Linked DNA regions of Arabidopsis thaliana. The protein of the gene in region 1 interacts with the protein of each later gene in a pairwise test. Each region holds a gene or a part of one and is shown on either strand. Other genes may lie near its edges. The genes, in order: BRK1, DIS1, ABI3 and ABI4.

Region 1 (3,786 bases):
CATTGTAAACACACATAATTTGCAGATGTAAAATGCAAACGATATTTTTAGTTTCTTCTTCGGTTTGTGTTTGCATTTGCAATTTACAAAAAAATCTGTTCTTTGAGAAAAGATACTAAAGATGTTGTGTTTAAGTTTGAAACGCATTATTAATCAATGTTATCATTTCTAGTTTTCAGGTTCTTATAAGTGTTTTATCTTTTGCAGAGGAATCTTGTTCATCATGAAAACCTCGAATTGTCGAGAAAAGTACAAAGGATTCATCAAGAAAATGTCGAACTATACAAGAAGGTAAAATAGAAACACAAACTTCATTACTTCAAGTTGCAGCTAACAAATCCTTTAAATCAAATTAATCTCCTAGTTGAAACTAGACAAATCTCAATAATTAATTATTGAGATCGTACGTAGTTACAAAAGTGTGTTGTGGTAATGGTCTTGCATACAGGCTTATGGAACGTCGAACACAAATGGATTGGGACATCATGAGCTAGTAGATGCAGTTTATGAATCCCATGCACAGGTTAGGCTGCAGCTAAGCCAGCCTGAGCAGTCCCATTATAAGACATCTTCAAACAGCTAAGATCATATAAGAGATATATAACAAATTGTTCGTTCTTGATTATCTCAAAACCCTTTCAAATATATATACGTGCATATTATATATGAAGACTCGTTTGACTATGTCAATATATATGTTTTCATGCAGGAGTAAGTGTGAGTGTAATCATGTCGGAGAGCAAACCAAAGGTTTGATTTGTACGATATATACTTATATATGGTCTCAAGTGAAAGCAATGGAACAGCTTCTCGATTATATTCTTTTTAGCTTTCACATTTGGTTTTAAGTACATAATTAAGACATACATGAACTACATATATAATATATATTTTAACTAAAAAAATTGAGTGTGATATAGGTTGGTTTAGTATATAAGCTATACTTTACCTAAAGTAAAATCAGAGCTCACTTTTGTGTGTGTGTGTTTGTTTTTGTTAGTCATTGAGATTTTTAATAAAGGGAGATTCATTTGAGATGATTGCTTCTATAGTTTAGAGAAAATTTGCAAAACAAAAAGAGTATACTATATATTGTCGTTTCAGGTAAAACGATGCAAAAAGTCAGCCTAGAAATTAACGAAGTTACATGACCATGACCAACATATGAAAACTGCATTGTTTAACATATCTCTGAAAAGATTATGTTTTTGGTCGTATTAAAATAACAAAAACGAAGTAAAAAAAATCTCAGATGTGAAATCAAACTAAGAGGAGCTAGGAGAAGAAAAATAAACCCTAATTTCCTTGGGATGTAAATTTTCACCGGTCGTACAATATAGGATTTTATGTGATTCAAAATTTTAGTCCAAAAGTAGAGGGTTATAAGTTTCTCGGTTTGAATAAATTAATTTAGTGATTTTGATTTAGCGCTTAAATTTGATTGTAAACACAGTTCACTCTATTATATACTATTGTCCAATATTTTGCATACTGTAATCCACTTTTAACCTACAAAAATATTGATATAATTAGTCCGGTTTACTGCTAATTGAACAACCATTCAAAATTTGATTTGTTGTATAGACAATGAGTTATGCCTCATCAGAAATAATCACAACTTAAAATTATTCTAGTATGATGAAATATGTGTTCTGTTTTGTAAATATTATAGATACAACCTATAAATAGTTATACAAGTTACAACCAATGAGCATACCGAATAATTCACTTGACTTTAAAACAAACGTATCTTGAATTCAAAGATTAAAGATTGGTTGTAATAGTATATATGCACGAAGAACCAAGAATTGCTCAATTTTTAATTGATAGTGACATTTGAATAGAACGAAAAAGATTGAACACTAACTAAGCAATCTACCAAAATATTAAACCAAACCACATAATATCAAATATCTTAAATTATAAAATAGCCCCTATATTTCCTCTTTATCTCATAAAACACCCGTTTCTTCTTCTAATCTTAACTTCTTCTTCATCAATCACACATCATCTAAAAGAAAAACAACCTACGATAAAATTCAGAAACTTTTTCTCTGAGACACCAAAAAAGGAAGGTGACCCTCCTTCTCTAATCGATTGCTTAATCATTTCTGCCGTTGGATTGAATCGAAAAAGGGCGAATTATTTAAAAAGCTTCAGAATTTGAAATCGAAATCTGTGAGTACTGTTGTGTTTGTGGAAGAGAGAGTTTTGGGGTTTAATAATGGCGAAAGCTGGAGGGATCACGAACGCAGTAAACGTAGGAATCGCTGTTCAAGCAGATTGGGAGAATCGAGAATTTATCTCACATATCTCTCTTAATGTTCGTCGTCTCTTCGAATTCCTTGTTCAATTTGGTAAACCTCACTCTCTCACTTATTTCTCTGTGTTGGGTTTTGAATTCAATTGACTAATTTTGGAGTTTTCTCGATTTCGTATTTGCTAAATTTAGAAACTTTGTTTTAGAGTTTTTGTCAAAGTAAGGTTTTTGATGATTGGGAGATTTGATTTTGGTGGTTGGTTAGTGAAAAATTTCACCTTTTTAATTGTTGAGATGATCAGATTTCATTTGCATTTGTATGGTCTTAGATCCATGTGCTAAGAGAGATCTTTGTAATGATCTCTTTGATCTTCTCAGCTTCAATTCTAGCTGGTTTTAGACAATGTTGTGTGTGATGAAACTTTCTTTTATGAGCTAATTTGATTATCGAAGTCATTGATGTCTGTGAGTTTGTAATTTCTCTGTGTGTTTCAGAATCAACCACAAAGAGCAAGTTGGCTTCTTTGAATGAGAAGTTGGATCTGTTGGAACGTCGCTTGGAAATGCTGGAGGTGCAAGTAAGTACCGCGACAGCAAATCCTTCTCTGTTTGCGACGTGAAACACCGTAGACGATATCGAAATCGAAACCGAGCCTGATCCTTTGGCTTTAACAGAAGAAGTCTGTTGTTGAATGTGTACCATTGAATGATTCTTTCTTTCTTCACATAGCTGTGGTAGTAAGTAAACTAGTAGCTTAAAATATGAATCTATTCATAAATATGTGTATCTTTTTTCTGTCCATTAAGATCTCTTTTGAATGACAAGTCATTTCGTTGAACTCTTGAAGTTTTTGCTTTCTTCTGCTGTTGATTTATAAACTTTGCAGAGGTACCCTTTTCATCTTCTATGCATCGGATTTGTATATTCGTCTTTTCTCTTAAAGTGGAACACATGTAAAACGCTCTTGTTGCCCATTTTTTCTTTTTCATCAATGGAGGAAGAAAAAACCGAAAAAGCTCACATCTCTTTTCCTCCATTAGATTCTGTCTGCATTTGTGACTCACATTGTTTTTTTGAGTTCCACTCGGATTCATCGAGACCGACCTAATCGTCTCCACCCGTACGTACTATGAGATCACCCCACGGATGCCTACGATATCCAGGGGTCGCGGACCAACCATAGAACCAAGCCATTGTTGAAAATATTCTGTTTTACGTACCTAAACCACAAAGTTCTGTAGACTATGGATGATTGACCATTTTTAAAAAAATATTCTGAACTCAGTTTTTGTTTTGTCTGAATTGAGATTTGCTGTGTTGACCAAGCTTCCAAGCTTGAAGCTGCAAACAAGAGTGAGAACTGAGAAGTAAACAATGGTACTCTTATTGTCTGTTTTTCTTCCAAGAAGTTAGTTCAGAAGGAAGTAATTCTTCATTGCAACTTAAAACAGCTTTAGACATGAGTTTCCCAAGCCAAGCATGATAGAGTAGTCCCCTTGATCCGAGCCCTGAAAATACCCAGAAG
Region 2 (5,652 bases), on another chromosome or scaffold:
TTGAGAATCCGACAAACTCCGGAATTGTTTGAACGCCCAGAAACAGAGCTTTAGCGAAAGAGTTTTTGATGAGATCGGAGGAAGAGAGTCGTATTCGTCGAGACTCGGGATGTTCTCTTTCTTATCCGATAGAAGAAGAAAAAATGAAAGAAGAGCTTCACCGTGATGTCAACAGTTTGTCTTAACAAACTTTTTTCTTTTACATGTTTTTTTAGTGCGTTTATACAACAAGCTATAAATGTAATAATGTATTTTGTAGAACATATGAAAGATATATATATATATTTTTTTTTCCCATGAAAGTTTTTTCCTTTATTATTAACAACAGAATATCTTACATTACTCCAAAACCAAAGAGTAATGAAAGATATTTGTTTTGAGTAATTTAAGAAAATGATTTTGTGTATTTTACCCAAAAGAAGGTTTATCTATTCATGTCTAATTTTAAATATTATTAACTAATTTATAAAAAATAAAACACATCATAAAGTAGACAAAACTTAATTATCATGTGTTTCATCTAGAACTTAAGCTCTTGAGTGGAATAAAAGCTTATAAAAAATGATAACTTGACAATTAGACGATTGATAATCCGGAACTTTTCTGTGGAATTTAATGCTTGAGTTAACAGAAAATAATATGAAAAAAAAATCAAACTTCTACATACTTTTTTTCTTTAATTTGTCTGAATAATAATATGACTTCTACATCAAGCCTAGCTTACACTGTGTGTACTCAAGAACCCTAAAGTCAGTAATAGAAATGGAGTAAAGCAGACAAACATTCACAGAATCTGCTGGTGAATTATTTATGAAGCAGCTTCAATACATTCCCTTGAACACCGGATTCGTGCGGCATATGCTTGCTCCATATTCCTCATACTCCTCTTTCGTTCTGCAACTCTGCAACAACAAAAATACATCTTGTTTCAAAACACGATCAAGCCATGAGGTTTAGCTTCAAACTAGCGGATCTCTAAACTAGTTTGCATACCGCGAAAAACTCAGGAGTTGATGAAAGCACAGAGCCTCCAAACCAAACTGCAAACCTCTGGACAGGATGGCTCACGACATTAACCTCCACCGGTTGAGACTGTGGTTATAAATAAATATCACCTCAGATTAAGAAAACTGGTTATCACTTTTATTTTCCAGAATATCATACAATTTTCTTACCGTAATTTCACCACCAGTACGAGCGTTATTAGCAAGAACACGAGCATCAACAATCTTCTTGAGGTCCCTTTGTAACCTTCTTCCGAAATCTTTGAACATAGTTGAACCTCCGGACAACACTATATTCTGAAATGATTTCACAAATTCATCAGTATTGCGGATTGGAAATTATCTTAAAACTCTGACCAGTCTTTGGCGTTTCAAACCTTATATAAAGCTCTTCGTGTGTCAATTGGTGCAGACTGAATACATTTGTCTATCACAGCTGGTAAAGTAGTTGTGAAGTCATTGCTGTATATCTCTGGATTAAAGAACACCTGTAACACACAAAATCTCAACATTACTCATCGGTAATAGCAGAACAAAAACGCAAGAACAATAAAGGAAATTATGTTCCACTTTCCAGTTACTCTCTTGGTATAGAGATACAAAGGAGATTAGCTTCCTATGGGTCCAGTAGTGACAGCTGAATTCTAACTAGATAAGAATTAGTTCCAGACTTCCAGTTAACATAATGGACTAAGTAATTACCTAATTTGAGTTTCTGAGAGAGCATAGTTTTATATCAGTACCGTTCAGTAATCAGAACAGAGTGCTGAAAATATCTTATAATCGATAACAAATCATGAACAGCTCACTGACATACTAGAAACTCATGCACCAGTAAAGATATCCAGTCTCCGATTCTGGTTATCTTATCAACTTACAACTTTTTATAACAGATAGATGGTAACAAACCTCGGGTCCAAGGAATCGTTCATATCCCACGTCGCAAGTGTATGGTGCACCAGTCTTTGGCTTTACACCTTTCCATTGTTTAATATACTTTGCTGGTTCTTTGTCATGTTTATTAAACTCCTGCAACCATATGAATGTTCTTTATCAATATTCCTATATTCTTTTCAAGCGATTTCAGCATACAGGCCAGTAATAAATTTTCAGAAGAGTATATATTAATATTATCTGACTTGAATATTCACCACTAAGGATTACCTTTACGATGTCAGAACAAGTGTAGCAGTACATTTCCTTCACTTTACGGGCTACATCGAATGAATCTTCTGGTGGTATATTCTCACCTCTTTCCTACAGTAAACATTGAAACGAGAAGTTACATGAAGTTAATACATTAATCTAAACCAGTAAACACCCTCTCTAAGCATATGAGCACAACATCTAAAACAAATAAACAGGAAGCCTAGCTACCATACTCAAAGCTTGGATTTAACACATTTAACTTCTGTGCCTTTAAAATCTTAAAATGTCACAGAGAAAGAATGAAAACCAACTACAAAAGAAGACCAAGACTAATATTAAGATAATAAATTAGTGCATACCCGCATGAGTTGCTGGATAAAGAGGGTGACATCTTTGCCAGCAATTGGAATCGATTTGATACAGCTCCCGATGACATAACCTTCTGCAACAGGTACAACATGAGTTGCCCCATCTCCAACATCTACTACAACCCCTGTCATCTCACACTAAGAAGAATTGTAAGTCAAATTAAGAGGCGAGGCGAGCATAACGAGACAGAACAAAAAACAAGAGAACATGTTTAATATTTGCTAAATCCCACAAAGCTCGGAAATTGTCTAATGTTGGTGAGGTTACACTAACCTATTCTTGAGACTCAGTCCCTAAAACCAAAACTGAATAAAGTATAATTATGACTTGATTTAAGGATTCACACAGTCTACAAGCAAACTTAAACAACTAATAGCCTAAATACATATCATTTCATCCCAGCAAACAACTTAAATACATATCATTTCATCACAGCAAGTAGGCTAATACATAGCATTTCATCACAGCAAACAACGTAAATACTTGGAGAAAAGAAATGTGTAACATACCTTTGATGTTGTGTAGCCAGCAGCAAGTGCAAGAACTGAATTAACAGCAATGTAAAGCCCAGGAACATTAAAAGTCTCAAACAAAATTTCTCCAGTATATTCTCGACTTTCAGGAGGAGTAAGAGGACTTTCAGTAAGAAGAAAATAATGATCCTCAGGATCACATCTCAAATAGTTAAATATACACTGCTGCCAATATCTCTCCATAGCATCCCAATCCTCAACTTGACCATGCTCAATTGGATAATGAAGATTATGAGTACTACTAGACCGCGATTTCGCAAGAGCTTCATCTCCAATATAGAAATCGAGATCCGCAGCAACTCCAGCGTTGTGCTGAGTTTGCCAAGTTGCCTTAGAAGAACTCTTGGATTGATTCAAAAACGACTCGTTTACTGCAACTACTGTTGGTAAGATAAAACATGGCTCTACATTACCCGCAAATCCCATTTTAGTATACCTGCAATACACACACACACAAGAATGAATCTAATTGCAGCATTTCATCGAACACGTTAAGCGCATAAACAAATCAAACCTATCATTGAACGTACCCAGTTCCATTGTCGATGACAATAGCGGGTCGAGAAGTCGGATCCATTAGAGAAACTAAGCCGGCGATCTCTAAAGCAAAATCAGCTCACCAGAGGGTGTGAATGGAGATCCAAAACAGTATCCGATTAGAGATCGATTATCTCTACCGTTTAAACACTAGAGAACCCTAGAATTTTCCGATCGAACCTAAGCTTGCTTCTTTCTCGCGCCTTCCGTCAACGGAAGTTGAGTTTCCGACAAGCTACCACGTAATTTCTCGTAGGCTATGAGAAACAATGTAGGGAGAGAGACAATGAGAGAAAATTGATTTTCCCGGAAAATCAGAGATTCACGTGAGATTCAGCGAAACGGTCAGATCATAGAGAAAGTCGCCGTCGTCGACTGGTACTTTATCGTGTGAGATTTTTCCGATAAAAAACAAATGAAGTTATGTACAACTACTGTTTTAAATTTTGGCTTCGTCCTTATGCGCTGTGGTTAATTTGGTTTTCCAACCCGACTCAATAACCAAGTCTGATTTAAAAACCAAACAAATTTCAATAACATTGAATTGAACCATACTGGGCTGATTATCATCATTACAAATTTTGTTTGGATATATAATATACTGTAATCGTCTTTGTAAACAAACCAAATTAACTAGGGACTTTGATAATATAAAAGGTAATCATAACACAAATAATGTTCTGATATATGATATATGATATATGCCTACTGTTAATTGGATTAACTCAATATTAAGATGTGTGTAGTGAAGACAGAAAAACAAACTTATGATAAGGACGCTTGAACCACCGAACAAAACCCATTAAAACTTGAGATTGAAGTCTTGTTACTACTTTACTACACAGTAGTTATCATGAACTATGTTCACACGGTCTCGAAAAATGGAATCATATCAGTCTCAGCCTAATCCTATTGAGTAGATAAGCTTAAATCATCATGCATGTCTCACTCATACCGGTCCGTTTAAATAACAAAATGAAAATGTAGCCCAATGTTTTAGCATTTAAGTGTAAAGTATGACCTGTTTTCAAGGTAATAAAATTTCAAAAGACCCAAACAAAATAATTTTTAGTATAAATATGCCCAAATATATAAATTTTTTTTTTTAACATGAATATAAGGTCCTGAATTTTTATTTTGCCCTAGAGCTTTAAAAATTGTTGGGCTAGGTTAGTCTCCCTTGCAACAGATTTCTTTTTCATATATATTTTTTATAGTCAATGTTAGGTGGTATGTGTAAAACTACAATGCGAATGAATATATATTTTTTTAAATGGCTTGATTGATCTCATTCATCTAACGAATTACTACATTCGTCCAACAAATTACTAAATTCGTTAACGCAGATATGTGATACTCAATTCACTAGTTTTTTCAATTTAATATTCGCCGTTTACGAATTTGTTGGCTATCGTTTTTAGATCAGTCACATTGCTGTAAGCATCTCTTGCCGACATGTTTTCCAGACGACTCATTGTTGATCTACCAACGTTCTTCAAAGCTCTAAAGAATGCACTATTTTTTTCACTTTAGCAAAAAATAAAAATAAAATATAAAGATGTAACCGTAAAGAAAAAATATTACAAAGCGCATTTTGTACAAATTTTATTGATAAAGGACGATCTAAATATATTTTTAAGATTCTACAAGTTTTTTTACTTATAAATACTCATCAATGTATTAGCAGTATTATATTCGAACTATCAAAACAAATATTTGTTTATTGTTTTAGTTTTTTTTTTTAAACAATGATTTTTTTTCATGATCATGTCAAGTTTATTGATTAAAGAGATTTGGGGGTAAATGAGGTGTAATCATAATGAAATATACAATACTCATGTTTTAATATTCAATATGGTTAAGATTGTTTAATTCAGATAAATTGAACTGTATCATCAAGAACAAAATGAATTTTTTAAAATTCAATTTGAAGGAAAAATCAAATACCACCTAACCGATTGCATTGAAAAGAGAAAAAAAACTATATTTGATATAAAAAACCGTTGACAAAACAACCATATTCGAAGCAAAATCAAATTTGTATCAAATTACTTTAGATG
Region 3 (6,275 bases), on another chromosome or scaffold:
TGGTTTTCTAACATTTTAGATTTCATTTTAAACTAAAGAAAAAGGGTTTTTCGATCCCAACAATTTTTAAAGTATGTTTTTGAATTTCAACAAACGACTAGTACTGATATATACATCAATGCTTACAAAAATCAAATTATCTATCTCAACGTTTACTTTTGTACGTAATTACAAGTCAATATTAACAAATATTAGTCAACTGTAACGGTTGTTGACTCAATTGATACGTGTACGTTTAGGTGGCATGTTTTTTAATAAAATAATTTTGTTTTATGTTTTGGGATTAAAAATATTTACTTTTAAAAAACTAAACCGAAAAACTGGAACCCCCAACCTCACATATTCATCACCATCGTATCCACAAACATTATCGAGACATAAATAATAATTTATAGATATATAGCAACAAATTGGAATTAAATTAATCAAACAATGTCATTTAGAATTGGGGAAATCCTAACCGACGTTATATGATTAATTTTAATTCCAATTTATGTATGTGTATATATCTATAAATTATTATTTATATATTGATGATGTTCGTGCATGATGGTAATGGTAACCTTTAAAACTTTTGAATCTCAAAACGTAAAACAACGTCATTTGGTTTGAAGAACATGCCATCTCGACGTACAAGTGTTAGCTGATTCAACAACCGTTACTGTTAATTACCATAACTAACGTTGACTCATAATTATGTACAAAAGTAAGAGTTGAGGTAGATAATTTGAATTTTTTAAATGTTAAAGTATGAACATTACTAATTGTTTGTTCAGATTTATAAAACACAGTACCTATTTTGATGTGTTAAAATGTAATCGGGAAAATAGGAATTTTCCCAAGAAAAAAAAATACACTAAAATTTTGATGTGTTAAAATGTAATAAATACAAGTACCTATTTCTTTCTACAACAGGTATCACATGATCTGCTCAATCTCATTTTGAAGGCAAGGTCGAACCCTGTTTGTAACTAAATATTTTACAAATACACTAAAAGTTTTGTTTTGTTTTCCTCATGCAGAAAAAAGAAAAGAAAGAAGAAGAAAAAAAACTCACAAAAACATACATTGTTCTACAATATGTTAAAGTAATTGTTCTAGGGTAATAAAATCCGTGTCTGCCTCTTCCACTTCAATAGGAAAGTGTAAGTTTTTCGAATCTTTTTGGCCAGATAATTTAAAACCGACCGAGGAAACTTACTTTTGTAAAAGTGACCATTTGCACATAGGAAGTAGAAAGTTGATAATTGGAAAATTTATAATATTTTATACAAAAGAAGTGTTTAAGAACCACCGCTTGGTCTCACCACTCAAATTCGAACGTATGGCTCGTGGGCACAAACTCCTGTACCAACCTTTAGATACTAGCGGCACGAGGAGACTTCTATTTTCTCTTTGTTTTTAAGTTTTTTTATCGACTTAAATATGGCTTTTTGCACCATTTAATTTCAAAACCAATGTCTTTCTCTCGAGGAACTTTGTTTTTATTTCTTAGAAGATGAGGGGAGATTTACTATCTAAATAAAATTTTAAATGTTTGTAAGTATTATGAGCTCAACAATTTTGTCAATAGTGCCACAAATTTAAACGTTTGCTTTTTGTCTTCTTTGAAAAATCAAATGCTGAAAAACTGTTACATCTCTTTTTCTTAAAAACTCTTGTCTCTCTCCTTTTCCTTCTGCTGAGGTAATTGAATGCTGCAAAGAGAAAGAGAATAACTTAAACCCAAAATTACACTTACCGCCAGAAAAAAAAAAGAGTTCAGTTTAATCTAACATATTTTATACAATACAATTGAATTATATTAGTAAAAAAAAAACTTCCATATAAATCATGGAACAAACTGGAACACATGGGCTCTCTTATTTTAATTTATTTTCTTTTTTGAGGGATTTAACCATGTTTATTATATAGTTTTATAAATATATATATACCATCTCTCCATAATTTATAAAATGAAAGAAAGAGAGAGTCTTCTTGTTGGAGTAAACCCAAACGGTTTTAGATTACTTATTAGCTGTTCATCAGTTCTTCCTCTCTAAAAGAGTAAAACCTAAACATCTCTCTCTGTTCTATTAGAACCAAAGACCAATCTTTGTGAACAAAACACATCTCGTATACTTCAGATCTAGACTCGAAAATTTTAGACCTCTTTACAATTGGTCTTTGTTCATCTGAAGTTGGAGAAAATAGTTAGCTTAGGTCGGATCTTTTCATATGCTTTGGATCCTCCTTCGTCTCTTTTGTATAATTTTAACCTTATCAAGAGTTCTTTTTGAATCTCAAAAGATTATATAGTAGTATAGAAGGTTTATATGTATATGTATAGCCAGATAGTTTATGTTGTTTAAAGATTCGATGATAGCCAAGTTGGGTTAACTTTCTTTTTCCTTGCCTCCTTACTCACATACAAACCCTATCTGTCCGTACAAAATACTAAAAACCCTAACTTTTCTCTCTCCACCAATCTAGTTTATTGTTTCATTTCCACTTCAACGATGAAAAGCTTGCATGTGGCGGCCAACGCCGGAGATCTGGCTGAGGATTGTGGAATACTCGGTGGAGACGCTGATGATACTGTTTTGATGGATGGAATTGATGAAGTTGGTAGAGAGATCTGGTTAGATGACCATGGAGGAGATAATAATCATGTTCATGGTCATCAAGATGATGATTTGATTGTTCATCATGACCCTTCAATCTTCTATGGAGATCTCCCAACGCTTCCTGATTTCCCATGCATGTCGTCTTCATCATCGTCTTCAACATCTCCAGCTCCTGTCAACGCAATCGTCTCCTCAGCCTCTTCTTCTTCGGCAGCTTCTTCCTCCACTTCCTCAGCTGCTTCTTGGGCTATATTGAGATCAGATGGAGAAGATCCGACTCCAAACCAAAACCAATACGCATCAGGAAACTGTGACGACTCTTCTGGTGCATTGCAATCCACAGCTTCCATGGAGATTCCATTAGACAGCAGTCAAGGTTTTGGTTGCGGCGAAGGCGGTGGTGATTGCATTGATATGATGGAGACTTTCGGGTACATGGATCTACTTGATAGCAACGAGTTCTTTGACACCTCAGCTATATTTAGCCAAGACGACGACACGCAAAACCCTAACTTGATGGACCAAACCCTTGAGAGACAAGAAGACCAGGTCGTTGTTCCGATGATGGAGAATAACAGTGGTGGAGACATGCAAATGATGAATTCTTCCTTGGAACAGGACGATGATCTCGCTGCTGTGTTTTTGGAGTGGCTAAAGAACAACAAGGAGACTGTGTCGGCTGAGGATTTGAGGAAAGTAAAGATAAAGAAAGCTACGATTGAATCAGCGGCAAGAAGACTAGGCGGTGGTAAAGAAGCGATGAAGCAGCTTTTAAAGCTGATTCTTGAATGGGTCCAAACTAATCACTTACAAAGAAGACGCACCACCACCACCACCACCAACCTCTCTTATCAACAATCATTCCAACAAGATCCATTTCAAAACCCTAACCCTAATAACAACAACCTAATCCCACCGTCCGACCAAACCTGTTTCTCACCTTCAACATGGGTTCCTCCACCACCACAACAACAAGCTTTTGTCTCGGACCCGGGTTTTGGATACATGCCTGCTCCAAACTATCCGCCACAGCCAGAGTTCCTTCCTTTACTTGAATCTCCACCGTCATGGCCACCACCACCACAGTCTGGTCCCATGCCACATCAACAATTCCCCATGCCGCCAACCTCGCAGTATAATCAATTTGGAGATCCAACAGGTTTCAATGGATACAACATGAATCCGTACCAATATCCTTATGTTCCTGCAGGACAAATGAGAGATCAGAGATTACTCCGTTTGTGTTCCTCAGCAACTAAAGAGGCAAGAAAGAAACGGATGGCGAGACAGAGGAGGTTCTTGTCTCATCACCACAGACATAACAACAACAACAACAACAACAACAATAATCAGCAGAACCAAACCCAAATCGGAGAAACCTGTGCCGCGGTGGCTCCACAACTTAACCCCGTGGCCACAACCGCCACGGGAGGGACCTGGATGTATTGGCCTAATGTCCCGGCAGTGCCGCCTCAATTACCGCCAGTGATGGAGACTCAGTTACCTACCATGGACCGAGCTGGCTCAGCTTCTGCTATGCCACGTCAGCAGGTGGTACCAGATCGCCGGCAGGTAGACATGCACAATCATCTTTCTCATTGTTTATTCTTTAATTTAGCAATACTCGAATAGTTTGTGTAATTGCACCACTCGTTTGGTTTGATGAAGAAGCTAAAGATTTTACATGTGTTTTTTTTGATAAAATGTGAATCGGAAGATTATACATTTGCAATGGAAATGAAATGATTTTGATCTTTTTGGTTTGATTTTAGGGATGGAAACCAGAAAAGAATTTGCGGTTTCTCTTGCAGAAAGTCTTGAAGCAAAGCGACGTGGGTAACCTCGGAAGGATCGTTTTGCCAAAAGTAATTTTTCTTCTAATTTCTTGTAGCCTTTGCTTTCCATTTTCTAAAAAAGGTTCAATGTTTGTGTAAAAATATTGTCAAGTTTTTATTTTATTTTTACTCTTATTGGTTAAGTTATATTTTACTGAATTTTTATTTTTTTTAGAAAGAAGCTGAGACACACTTGCCGGAGCTAGAGGCAAGAGACGGCATCTCTCTGGCCATGGAAGACATCGGAACCTCTCGTGTTTGGAACATGCGCTACAGGTAACTGATTATGATGCTAACATGTTAACATTGATTCTTTTTATAAAAACAATTCGTGTATTTTGTCAAAAATTGGAACTCGACCAAAATGTTTTTTCGGTTATTTAATTGTCTTCTTAAATTGGTTTTGCAGGTTTTGGCCTAACAACAAAAGCAGGATGTATCTCCTCGAGAACACCGGTACGTTTTTGAAAATGTACCCGTTAATAATTTTCCTTTCTTTTGGTTTGTTTGTTCTCTTGTAATTATTGTTGTGGACGCATACATATCTAATTTTCCTTGAAATTACGTTTACAGGCGATTTTGTGAAAACCAATGGGCTCCAAGAAGGTGATTTCATAGTCATATACTCCGACGTCAAATGTGGCAAATATGTAAGAGAAGCATCACAATATTTTTCTATACTTTTCATTAGTATTTAACTCTCATCATTACTTTTGTTGGTATTTATCTTGTCATAATTAATTGAGAATAATATTATGACAGTTGATACGAGGGGTTAAAGTAAGACAACCGAGCGGACAAAAGCCGGAGGCCCCACCGTCGTCAGCAGCTACGAAGAGACAAAACAAGTCGCAAAGGAACATAAACAATAACTCTCCGTCGGCGAATGTGGTGGTCGCTTCACCAACTTCTCAAACTGTTAAATGAAAAACAGAGACAAAAAGAAACAATATAAATATTATTATGTACCAAATAAGAAAGAGGGCAAAAGGAAAAAATGGCAGCGTACCCGAGTGTGCCACTTCTCGTGCATGCATGGGATCTTGAAGACAAATGGAGGGTCATGATTAAAGCTGTTTGGTCGGGGTCCGGGTTTTTACTCCATTTTTTGCTTTTTCTTGTCGAGTCGGTTCTTTTATAACTCTTTACTCTTTTTACCTTCAGGATATTGTAGAGATGATTAATTCTGGAAATGGTGTTTGTGTTATATTTCTGGAGAGATGATTATATAGTTCTTTTGTTGTTGTAATTGGTTAATATTACATATGTGGCTCATTTCTTGAGTCGAGCTTACATATCGTTTATAATGTGAATGTTTTAAGAAGAGTTGAATGATACAATATTTTTACACAAACATTGATAATGATAATAAAAATGATAATTAATGTACAAAATTATTTGTAAATATGGACATATGGACAATTTAAGAAGGAATTGAGATAATTAATTTTGTACATTAATTATCATTATCAATGTACAAAATTATTTGTAAATATGGACATATGGACAATTTAATGATAGTAAAAATGATAATTAATGATAATTAATGTACAAAATGATAATTAATGTACATATGGACATATGTACAAAATTATCCATATCATTCACATATTCACATTGTAAATATTTGTAAATAGAATGTTTACATATGGACATTTTAAGAAGAGTTGTTCCTTACCACTTTGATTCTATCATTTTCTTGTTTATCTAGTTAGCTTGAACCCTTTGTATTATTGAGTAACGAAAATCTTTGGAGGAAAAAAACAAGTGAGGTAGGATTATAATTTTCCTCATATAAGTGTGTTGTTTGTGATACATCATTATTCTTTCTTAT
Region 4 (3,750 bases), 7.2 Mb from region 1:
AATATCTACACTATAACTCCTCTTTTTAATATATTTATTTATTTATCCATTGACATGTGAGTATTTTAAATTTCTACATAATTCTTTTTTAAGATTAATAAAAGGTGTAGTATCCAAAATCTAAATCTATCGGACGAAGTATTTGACTGAAGCCAAGTCGTCTTCCAAGAATGGTGTTAAGTGGACTAAATGAACACATATATCTATGTAATGAAAGCAGAAAAATAATTACTGTGTCTCTCTGCATCTGTATTTCTGTCCCTCCAGTGGCTGCAGCAGGCAATGGATCTGCAACACTCTCCGAGTGCGCAAATCAACTTATTTTTCTTCTCCAAAATTTAACAAGTACTACTCCAGAAATATGATTCTAGTTTTTACTTATGTCCAAAAATATGATACGTGTTGTACCAGATGTTTTTCCTCCGATCCCTTAATTATATCTATGTTTACAATTTTATTTTACGTATAAAGATAAAACATCAAAAAAATAGTATCATAAGGTGATTTCCCAACAGCTTAAATTTTTCTCTAAGATCATAATCATCAAGTATAGAAGCTTCGGTTAAGTTCAACACTAAAAGTTAGATTAAAACCAAATTAGGGGCGAATATGGTTAGACCATCTCCAATGGTCACCTCTATAATTTTCTCTATTTTAGAGGTGCCTCTATTTTAGAAGCATTGTGCTCCAATGGTCACCTCTAAAATAGAGTTTCCTCAAAAATAGAAGAAAAATTAGAGATGAATTGTAGAGATCTCTATTTATAGAGACAAAAAGTAAATATTTCTATTTCTTCCTCTATTATAGAGAAAACTCTATTTTAGAGGTGACCATTTGAACATAATGCCTTTAAAATAGAGTCACCTCTATAAATAGAGGAAAATATAAAGATCACTATTAAAAATGCATTTAGATCTTTTACTAGGGTTGTTGGTAATGGTAGATTAATTACCTTGATCCTTTTTAGTATACTTATCTGTTAATGCTTGTTAACCACTTAAATTGCAAGAGAGTTGAACAAAATTGGGTAATTCATGCCACGCTTTGTAATTATTCATTGATTAGTGTTTCATTCTCTACAATTTATGGCTAATCAGCCCCCGTTAGCCGTTATGTAATGATTTATTCTAGTTTCATTGCTTGCCAACTTTAAACGATGCTTTTAATTCTTGAACTCATAAATCATTTTCTTTGTTATCTTTGTCTACTGTTTTATTCACTTGATCTTCTTAATCTTTTAAATTGCCTATCTTTTGCTATGTTTTTGTTACAATTTAAATTGACAAGTACTTAGAAAAACAAACAAAAATGATATCTCTGTTCCATCTTAGATTATTCGTTTCTTATTTCTCTTAATATATATTTTTGAACACGCTTATTTCTCTTATATATGTTGCAATATTCCTAACCTTGGTGAATTTGATTCAGTTCTCTCTGGTTGAATCCTCTGAAATCTGAATGCCTTGGAGTGTTTTCAACATGCGAGTATTTCTCACAATTACCCATCCAATCAAAGAAAAGAACCAACTTCAAGATATTGTTATATATCGCTCATGATTTGCTATAGTTACCCAAAAGAAAGAAAGCAATTAAATGTTTTTATAATATCCTTGATTACATTCCAATGTGTAACAAGTAACTTATGACAACACAAATTTCTTCTTTGGTAGAAAACAAACGGGTAAGTAAAAAGAAAAGAAAAAAAGAAGTGAGTGAGAAGAGAGTGTAAGTATAAATAAAAGAAGCACCGCCCTAATCGACCATTCACAACGATGACATTCAAACACTCTTCAGTTTCCCTTCCTTCTTGATTCGTCCTCTCCACTATTTTTCTCAATTTCTTTAATCTCTCTCTTTCTCTCTCTACTTCCTCTTCCTCTTCTTCTTCTTCTTCTTCTTCATCTATGGACCCTTTAGCTTCCCAACATCAACACAACCATCTGGAAGATAATAACCAAACCCTAACCCATAATAATCCTCAATCCGATTCCACCACCGACTCATCAACTTCCTCCGCTCAACGCAAACGCAAAGGCAAAGGTGGTCCGGACAACTCCAAGTTCCGTTACCGTGGCGTTCGACAAAGAAGCTGGGGCAAATGGGTCGCCGAGATCCGAGAGCCACGTAAGCGCACTCGCAAGTGGCTTGGTACTTTCGCAACCGCCGAAGACGCCGCACGTGCCTACGACCGGGCTGCCGTTTACCTATACGGGTCACGTGCTCAGCTCAACTTAACCCCTTCGTCTCCTTCCTCCGTCTCTTCCTCTTCCTCCTCCGTCTCCGCCGCTTCTTCTCCTTCCACCTCCTCTTCCTCCACTCAAACCCTAAGACCTCTCCTCCCTCGCCCCGCCGCCGCCACCGTAGGAGGAGGAGCCAACTTTGGTCCGTACGGTATCCCTTTTAACAACAACATCTTCCTTAATGGTGGGACCTCTATGTTATGCCCTAGTTATGGTTTTTTCCCTCAACAACAACAACAACAAAATCAGATGGTCCAGATGGGACAATTCCAACACCAACAGTATCAGAATCTTCATTCTAATACTAACAATAACAAGATTTCTGACATCGAGCTCACTGATGTTCCGGTAACTAATTCGACTTCGTTTCATCATGAGGTGGCGTTAGGGCAGGAACAAGGAGGAAGTGGGTGTAATAATAATAGTTCGATGGAGGATTTGAACTCTCTAGCTGGTTCGGTGGGTTCGAGTCTATCAATAACTCATCCACCGCCGTTGGTTGATCCGGTATGTTCTATGGGTCTGGATCCGGGTTATATGGTTGGAGATGGATCTTCGACCATTTGGCCTTTTGGAGGAGAAGAAGAATATAGTCATAATTGGGGGAGTATTTGGGATTTTATTGATCCCATCTTGGGGGAATTCTATTAATTTGTTTTTGTGGAAGATCATATTATATACGATGAGCATCCCTAAGGTCGGTCAAGAGCATTGGAGATTCATTGTTGAGAGGAATCAAAGAGATTGCATTCTATGAGGAGCTCTGCATGCAAAATTTTGGAGGATTTTTTTACTACCTATAGAGATAAATAAGAGGGTATTTTTATTATTTTTTTGAAGATTTTTATTTTCAAGGAATTCGTAAAAGAGATTACGGTTCCAATAAAGTATGTATATGTGGAAGAGAATCGGAGGAGATGGTGGAAAGTTGTATGGGAATTTTATTGGTTCAACACTTCCTTCACAGTGTGCCTACCTTAATATATAATTATTGATAGGATATGATAATTTCTGTTTGGTTGTTCGAGTTTCAGAGGTTATATATAGTTATATTTTGTTTATCTCTGAGAATATTTACACATATCTCTATTAAGTTTTAGTAATATAGGAATCATCAATGTAGAAACTATGGAGAGAAACACGTTTTCAAAAAGTGTTCATCACTGGATGCATAATTGTTGTCGTTGAGAAGATTATTTACATTATTCGAGCTGGGTATTCTCACACCAACACTTCATATTCAAGTTTACAATTTTTTGTATCGATCATCCTTCAAAGTGTTTGGACATGATTTTGTCCGAATCCTAGCTTTCTTTGACTAAAAAGAGTTCTCCGTTTCTGTATTTCCCTTGTCCTGTGATTTCTTGTTTACTATGGTGTTTATTGGAAGTTGACAAGAAAAAATCAATTTTATTTTTTGTTTATGATTATATTTCGAATCTTTTAACAGTATTATACAAAATTTAAATTAAAAATAATCCCATATCTGACTGGGTTATACATGAATATT

What was found.
Region 2: the proteins of BRK1 (region 1) and DIS1 interact in a two-hybrid assay, tested with the Arabidopsis thaliana proteins (one study listed by BioGRID).
Region 3: the proteins of BRK1 (region 1) and ABI3 interact in a two-hybrid assay, tested with the Arabidopsis thaliana proteins (one study listed by BioGRID).
Region 4: the proteins of BRK1 (region 1) and ABI4 interact in a two-hybrid assay, tested with the Arabidopsis thaliana proteins (one study listed by BioGRID).

What each region holds. Positions count from the first base shown.
Region 1 is NC_003071.7:9,621,059-9,624,844, forward strand, and holds BRK1 (BRICK1), read left to right. Parts: upstream 1-1,938; 5' UTR 1,939-2,224; coding exon 2,225-2,357; intron 2,358-2,755; coding exon 2,756-2,880; 3' UTR 2,881-3,277; downstream 3,278-3,786. Other genes in the region: AGL17 (AGAMOUS-like 17), read left to right, coding at 208-291, 449-583; AT2G22650 (FAD-dependent oxidoreductase family protein), read right to left, coding at 3,645-3,786. UniProt on the Arabidopsis thaliana protein: Involved in regulation of actin and microtubule organization. Part of a WAVE complex that activates the Arp2/3 complex.
Region 2 is NC_003070.9:4,493,374-4,499,025, reverse strand, and holds DIS1 (Actin-like ATPase superfamily protein), read right to left. Parts: upstream 4,103-5,652; 5' UTR 3,633-4,102; coding exon 3,586-3,632; intron 3,492-3,585; coding exon 3,032-3,491; intron 2,660-3,031; coding exon 2,513-2,659; intron 2,262-2,512; coding exon 2,169-2,261; intron 2,034-2,168; coding exon 1,914-2,033; intron 1,493-1,913; coding exon 1,382-1,492; intron 1,302-1,381; coding exon 1,176-1,301; intron 1,093-1,175; coding exon 994-1,092; intron 903-993; coding exon 822-902; 3' UTR 557-821; downstream 1-556.
Region 3 is NC_003074.8:8,995,413-9,001,687, forward strand, and holds ABI3 (AP2/B3-like transcriptional factor family protein), read left to right. Parts: upstream 1-1,957; 5' UTR 1,958-2,498; coding exon 2,499-4,178; intron 4,179-4,378; coding exon 4,379-4,471; intron 4,472-4,616; coding exon 4,617-4,717; intron 4,718-4,850; coding exon 4,851-4,897; intron 4,898-5,014; coding exon 5,015-5,091; intron 5,092-5,203; coding exon 5,204-5,368; 3' UTR 5,369-5,773; downstream 5,774-6,275. UniProt on the Arabidopsis thaliana protein: Participates in abscisic acid-regulated gene expression during seed development. Regulates the transcription of SGR1 and SGR2 that are involved in leaf and embryo degreening.
Region 4 is NC_003071.7:16,795,740-16,799,489, reverse strand, and holds ABI4 (Integrase-type DNA-binding superfamily protein), read left to right. Parts: upstream 1-1,904; coding exon 1,905-2,891; 3' UTR 2,892-3,243; downstream 3,244-3,750.